Caenorhabditis elegans: one gene and its partner. The protein of the gene in region 2 purifies or fractionates together with the protein of the main gene of each other region. This does not show direct contact. Each region holds a gene or a part of one and is shown on either strand. Other genes may lie near its edges.

Evidence for each region.
Region 1: the proteins of tomm-70 (region 2) and Y54G2A.32 fractionate together in Caenorhabditis elegans (co-fractionation; one large-scale study listed by BioGRID). This does not show direct contact.

The regions. Positions count from the first base shown.
Region 1 is NC_003282.8:2,801,912-2,805,364, reverse strand, and holds Y54G2A.32 (DUF148 domain-containing protein), read right to left. Parts: upstream 1,358-3,453; coding exon 1,235-1,357; intron 1,181-1,234; coding exon 1,103-1,180; intron 1,054-1,102; coding exon 883-1,053; intron 829-882; coding exon 739-828; intron 694-738; coding exon 592-693; 3' UTR 560-591; downstream 1-559. Other genes in the region: Y54G2A.44 (DUF148 domain-containing protein), read right to left, coding at 2,125-2,226, 2,275-2,364, 2,609-2,779, 2,834-2,911, 3,212-3,334, 3,386-3,453.
Region 2 is NC_003281.10:8,753,033-8,756,787, reverse strand, and holds the start of tomm-70 (Mitochondrial import receptor subunit tomm-70), read left to right. Parts: upstream 1-2,037; 5' UTR 2,038-2,042; coding exon 2,043-2,159; intron 2,160-2,205; coding exon 2,206-2,509; intron 2,510-2,557; coding exon 2,558-2,640; intron 2,641-2,686; coding exon 2,687-2,850; intron 2,851-2,897; coding exon 2,898-3,179; intron 3,180-3,244; coding exon 3,245-3,317; intron 3,318-3,362; coding exon 3,363-3,425; intron 3,426-3,474; coding exon 3,475-3,755. Other genes in the region: Dwarfin sma-2, read right to left, coding at 1-60, 1,071-1,249, 1,435-1,748. UniProt on the Caenorhabditis elegans protein: Receptor that accelerates the import of all mitochondrial precursor proteins.

The sequences.
Region 1 (3,453 bases), on a different chromosome or scaffold from region 2:
GATTCCGTCATCTTTCCCGTTATCAGCAAGACATCTAATTAAATGTTTTATTACATTTTCAGAATCTCCGAGTTTTATTGCATATAATATTTGTGCTACGAAACACAGTTTCTGTTGGGTCTGTAAATAACTCGAATTTCAGCGAACCCCAGTTTACGAAAACTTCGAATTTCCAAGTATACTGAAGTAATGGAAAGATTGATCAATAATTCTATTATGTGCTTAAAAATTTCAGCTCAATTGGACCACTGGGAGCCAAGTTATGGACGTGAACTTGGGCGAGGTAGACCGCGACGCGGCCGCGTCGCACACCCTCCAGTTTTTGAAAGCTCATAACTTTGTGCATTGCGGTCCTGGAGTTCTGGAATTCGTGGAGAGTGTGCCCGCTGGCTTATCCAATCACATGATGAGGCAAAGTGCAATAAAAAGATTATGTTCGAACCTGAAAACTAATTTGAAAGGGTTTATTTACATAGACAATAATGTACTAAAGCGGATAAAACTACACTGCAAATTACTTGGCATGTATGGATTGTTCAATATTCTTGTTCCTACAATATAACAATATTTCATTTTTCGAAGTAAGAAAAACTATAGAGTCCATTGAAGGTTAGCATAGTCTTTAGCGTTGGCCTTCGCAAACTTTCCAGTCAAATCTGTCACAGAGTCTTGAATTGTTGGGGTCTTCTTGATCTAAAAAATATAATTCTCAGATTTCAAAACAAGGATTTAATGTACTTTTTGCATTGCTTCCATCATGAATGTCTGGCATGTCACGGTGTAGTTGTTGTTTGCCTTGGTGTCAGCAGCCCAGAACATGGTTTTCATCTGGAACAATTTTATATTTTAGGTTCAGACCCTGACAAGCAATAGAAAACTCACATTGTTTGCTTCAGCTTTAGTCAAGTACTTTGTGGAAATTGCCTGATTATATAGGTAGTTAATGTATTTTTTGAGAGAATATCGGTAGTCGATGAAGGTTAGAGCCTTGTTCTGTGCGTAGGCTTGCTTGGAGAGCTGATTTTTGGCATCCGGCTTTGCGTTTGCTGCTTTCTAGAAATATTGGAATTATGGAAGCCTTAGTTGTAAGTATGCTGCTCACCCAATTCTTCGGCACCCAATTCTTCACTGCAGTCTTTGCCTTGGCTATTGTGGTTTGTTTATTCACATTGGTAGTTAGCTGAAAATGAAATCAAAGTTACCTTTTCTCGTTGAATTAAAGTCTGAAACCCACCGTTTTAACTTTGGCCGCCGCAGCATACGGAAAAATCTTCTGAAGTGCTCCAACCACAATTTGATCACTTGCAACGTAGGCGCTTAGCGAACACAGGAGAAACAGAGAAATGACACGTGTCATCTGAAAGTCTCACTAGTTATTGAATCCAATTCGCACCGAAAATTAATACAAAAAACCTTTCAAAATCGCTGTATACGTGCACTCTTTATAACAGTTGACGCCCACCATGTTTAATCCGACAGTAAGTCCAATCGTATGATGGGACAAAGTATGAAAAATAAAGTTATGAAAGTAGTTTTTAGTTAGAACAATTGACATACTTTTTATACAATGAGATGCATTATTTTAAACAAGACTACACACAATTTGTCAGGAATAATTGAGGAAATACGTTAAGTAAATCTAATTTTAAACTTTAAACATATACATGTAGTGAACTACTGTAATATTTTATTATGTAAAATATCTATTTAGCGTAAACGTCATATACGGAAGTTTCTACCGATCAATCCTACGAAACTAATAAAACATCATTGTATGTATTCTCATTCAAAAAAAAAAAAAACTATTTCCGCATGCTACTATTAATGAATCACTGTTATTTACACAGTTTATATAATGTGCTAGCTATCACGTTTGACGGAAACGATCATGTTCCATCAACTTTGGTGCAAGCCATAGTGCATTGAACAAACTACTAAAGTAAGGCTCAACTCTAACCTCATCAATCTATGCATCAATTTTCAAAATGTTATGGAAAACAGCAAATTTTAAATTCGAAATTCAAAGTTTCAAATTTATCAAAAATTCCACTGTATAACTATTCTAGCAGTCTTTACTGATGTTTAAACCAAAAAGAACAACTTCATTATTCCTTTACAAATATATCACAGAGTCCATTGTAGGTTAGCGTTGTCTTTAGCGTTAGCCTTCGCGAATTTTCCAGACAATTCGCCCATAGCTTGATCGATTGAAGGGGTCTTATGAATCTGAAAACTTTGAAATTCTATCGAATTTTTAAACAAGAGGTCTCATACCTTTTGAGAAGCCTCCACCATGAACGTCTGCGTTGTCTCGATGTAGTTGTTGTTCGCCTTGGCGTCAGCAGCCCAGAACAAGGTTCTCATCTAAAAAAGAGACACATTTATTGAATGTGTTAGGTATTCTGAATTTTGTCTGAAAATTTTGAAGCTTTACGCTAATTTTGAGCAGAGATATACCGGCTTGAAGTTTTTAAGCCGACAGCGGCGCGGCCGCAACGCAACCGCTGCGTATCCGCGCCGCGCTATCAAAACTACAATCAAAACTACAAACAGCTGTAACTTTGCTCCAAGTGGCCCTGGAGCCTTAAAATTTTTGAAGGAAACTCACACTAGTTGCCTCCTCTTTGGTCAAGTATTTGGTGGCGATTGCCTGTTTATAAAGATAATTGATGTACTTTATAAGGGAGTATCTGTAGTCTATAAAGGTCATCGCCTTCTTCTCTGCATAACCTTTTTTTGAGAGGGGATTTTTGGCATCTGGCTTGACTTTTGTGGCTTTCTGAATAAAAAATTACAGGTTTATTGGTAAACTGAGGTATAGTTATAAACTCACCCAATTCTTCGGCACCCATTTCTTCACCACTGCTTTCGCCTTGGCTATACTTTTTTGCTTATTTACAGTGTTGGTTAGCTGAAAAAAAGTAAGTTATCGGAAGAAGCCGTTCCAAAACAAATTCTCCCCGGCCGGGAATTGAACCCGGGTCTCGCATGCGACAGACGCGGATACTCACCACTATACTACCGAGGACACGGCGGAGAGCCTGTCTTAAGAGCGTAGAGGAAAATGGAGAGCCGCGGTGTGTAATAAGTTGCGTACAATACAACAAACTTGACGGGCTTTTAAACGATTCTTTTGAATTTTCGCTAATTTTTAGTGAATTTTCATTACTTTTTCATAATAAAATACATCCATACATCAACAACAACTCACCGTTTTAACCTTCGCCGCCGCAGCATACGGGAAAATCTTCTGAAGTGCTCCAACCATAATTTGATCACTTGCCACGTAGACACTAAGAGAACACAAGAGGAATATGGTAATTGCACGTGTCATCTGAAATTCAAACTAAGTAAAGTAAAGTAAAGAAGTAAATTTAAATCATACCGAAAAACGAAAGGAACCTTTCAAAATCGCTATAAAGTTCCGCTGTTTTATAATAAACATGAGTGTGA
Region 2 (3,755 bases):
TGTCATTTTTTGTAGATCAAATGAGGCGTCGAATCCACGGCGACTGCAGTCCTCGAGAAGCTGAAAAATTTAGTTTTTCTTATTAGGTCTCCAAATAAGTTCCGGGTCAAAAATCATAACTTTGTTCACTGCGTATCGATTTTTATGAAACTGTGGGAATTTATGTTATCAACCATGATCTTTCATTTGACAATAGTCACAAAATTTTTTGGCCGTCCGAAGTGCCCTAACTCGGAGCCAATGTTTTCAGGCATTTTTCAGATCTCGCTTCTTTTACGCTTTGATTTGAGGTTTGTGTGCGGATTTAGCTTTGTTTAGTACACAATGTAAGAAAACAAGAAAAGTTTAGAAAAAAATCCGTCCAAAAAAAAATTTTTTTGTCGGTCGTCAAAAAATGCTCAAAAAAGTTTTTGTCGAAAATTCTTGATTTTTTATACAAATATGATGTAACCATGTGCAAACTATTTATTTTGCACATGGTTACATCATTTTTGTATGAAAAATCAAGAATTTTGGACAAAAATTTTTTTGAACATTTTTTGACGACCGACAAAAAAAATTTTTTTTTTAACGGATTTTTTCCAAACTTTTCTTGTTTTCTTACATTGTGTACTAAACAAAGCTAAATCCGCACACGAACCTCAAATCAAAACGTAAAAGAAGCGAGATCTGAAAAATGCCTGAAAAATTTGGCTCCGAGTTAGGGCACTTCGGACGGCAAAAAAATTTTGTGACTATTGTCAAATGAAAGATCATGGTTGATAACATAAATTCCCACAGTTTCATAAAAATCGATACGCAGTGAACAAAGTTATGATTTTTGACCCGGAACTTATTTGGAGACCTAATAGTTTCAGTTACTATTTTTTGCCCAAGAACATGGCTTCGCCAGTTTTAATGTGTGTACCTTTAAAAAGTACAGTAACCCAGTTTTTTTCAAAAAGTATAAGAATAGGCTACCGTACTGCTTAAAGGTACACATATTGCTGTGAGACTGCAATTTTAAGTTATTTTGTGCGTGACGAGACCTTTTCTTGACTCAAACATTGCAATTACGTGAATTAGCTTACCTGTCTAAAAATCTCCATATCGAAAATCTTCAGTGAACACTTATTTGCAATTTTAACAACAGTTGTTGAGTGAAATCCATTGATATAATTACAATTACTAGATTGTACGAATATAGCTGAATCACTTTCACATTGAGCAAAGAGTGAGCCATTGCTACGTACGTAGGTTAGCTTGACACCTGGAATTACAAAAAGTTTGAAAATTTTCAATTTTTTAGTCATAGTCTTGCAAAAATTATGCGCCGAAGTACGGTACCCAATCTCCCGAAAATCAGGTTACTGTACTTCTTGAAGGCGCACGCGTGTTTTGCTCGGCCTTGATTTGAAAGTAATTCGTTCGTGGCGAGGCCGTGGGTGCTCTTACCGTTTCCAATATGTCTTCTTGTATTTTCAATAGTTGCATTTCGATTTACATTCGAAAACAGTCCCAGGCTAATTTTGCTTCCATTGATGCATGGATCAGTGAATCCATCGATAGTTATAGTTGTTGAAGACACTTTAACCTGTTCTCCGACTCTTGTATTCAATTCATAATAGCTAACAGTTGCCCAGAATTGTTCTTCCCAAACTTTATCGAATGGCACGAGACATGTTGGAACTCCTGGTGGAATGTCGAATTTCTGAGAAGTATCCATTTCCTCAATTCCATTTGGATTGTATTGATGAAATTGGTTGGCTCTAGAAAATTATTTATTAAATCCCTAATTAGAAAATATATTGATAATATTTCAACCTTTTTTTCTTTTCGTAACCTTTTCCCTCTCAAAGTTATTTTGGATCCAATTTTATTTACAACTTGCGACGATACTCCGGAATTCCACCGCATGCTGTTTATCGTAAATATTGCCTACTTTTCTTATCACTGAAATTTTACATCATTTTACCAATTTTTCTTCATTCTCTTTGAATTCTCAATTTTTCTAACTTAATCTTAACTTATATCATTTATCTATTTATTATTTTGTAGATATAATGGTCGAAACGACTGGAATCAGCGACCAAACGAAAAAAGTGCTGATCGGTGTGGCAGCTGCAGCGACAGTTGCAGGTGTAGGATACTTGGTATATAAGAGTTTTGGAGGTTCAGACGTGAGTTTCTAGTGTACAATGATATCAATTTCAAAACTAATTTCAGCTGGAAAGGGACTTGGAGGAAATAAAAGCATTGGGAAATTTGAAGTTTAAAGAGAAACAATACGATTCCGCACTAGAAGCATTCACAAAAGGAGTCGAAAAGGCCGGACCAAACTCTTCTGATCAAATTGTCGCAATGCTCTACCAAAATCGTGCAGCCTGTCGTGAAAAGGTTGGACACAGCCCTTTTGATATCCTCAACGACTGTATGGCTGCATTGAAAGTAGACAAAAAATACACCAAAGCATACTTGAGAGCAGCAAAAGCACTTAATGACGTCGGAAAGAAACAGGATGCTCTGGCGTGTGAGTTTCTGAAGATGTTACGAGAAAAGTATCAATTCCTGTTTTTAGATCTTCTTGCCGCGTTCACTTTGGATTCTAGCCTGAATAAGACGAATTTCGAATTCTTTGGAAAGCTTCTTGCTATAGAACCCGTAAGAGCCTAACAATTTCTTAAAGAAACTCAACTTTTTATTCTAGATGTCCGACTGTCACATTGGAAAACCACTCAAAATCGAAGATGTTAAGCCACAGCCAGTAGCTTTGTTCAGAATTCAGCAGTGGTGTGATACTTGGGATATTCTTGATCTTTTCAAAACAGATCTCACCAGATTCGAACCAGAAGTGCTCAGTGAAGACCAGAAGTAAGCTCTAATTCTAGATATACAGTAAAAATAATTATAAATTTCAGACAATACCAACTTGCACTGGAAAAGTTCAAAAAAGGAAAATACGAAGAACTGATTGATCTGCTTACTGAGGAAAACAGCTATCCTCCGGCAATGATCTTGCGTGGAAAAATGCTAAGCTACAGTACTGATCCTAACGAGGCAACGAGATATATCGATAAAGTTGGAGCAAAAATTAACGAACTGATTGGATCAGAAGAGGATGAGGAACGCAAAAAACTAATGAGAGATGCTTTCGATATTCTCAAGATTGAGCTAATGTATACTATGGCAGATTTGGATAAGTTAGTTTTTTTTCTTGATTTTCCAAAATATTTCCAGGTCTTGTCTAATTTTTTCTAATTTTCAGATTCCTGGAATCAGTTCCAAAAGACGATAAGGAAAGACTTTTCAAACTTTATTCGTTTGCATCTATTTTTGTGGTAATTCGATTAAATCATTTTTATTCTCTAAAAATATGGTTTCAGTATAATGGATGTGTTCTCGATACAGCAGTGACGAATCATGAGCAACAAATGATGGCGGATACAGTAAATTTAAATTCATAATTTTCTTATTTATAATTATTTAATTTTCCAGAACAATGCCAATAGACTTCTCACAGAAGCTGAAAAGAACGGAACTCTCACTCCACATCTTTCCATGATTGTTACATTCCTGAAGTTGTGTACCAGCGAAGACTACGCTGATGTTCATCGACGAATCCGAGAAATGGAAGAACTCGCAGAGAGTAGATCTACTCATTTCAATCTGGTTCTTATGTCCAAAGTATATATGATGACTAATAATGAGGAGAGCTCGAAGAAGTTGCTCGAAGAGGCTGCAAGGATTACTACGAGATATTTGGTGCCAAGTAGGCA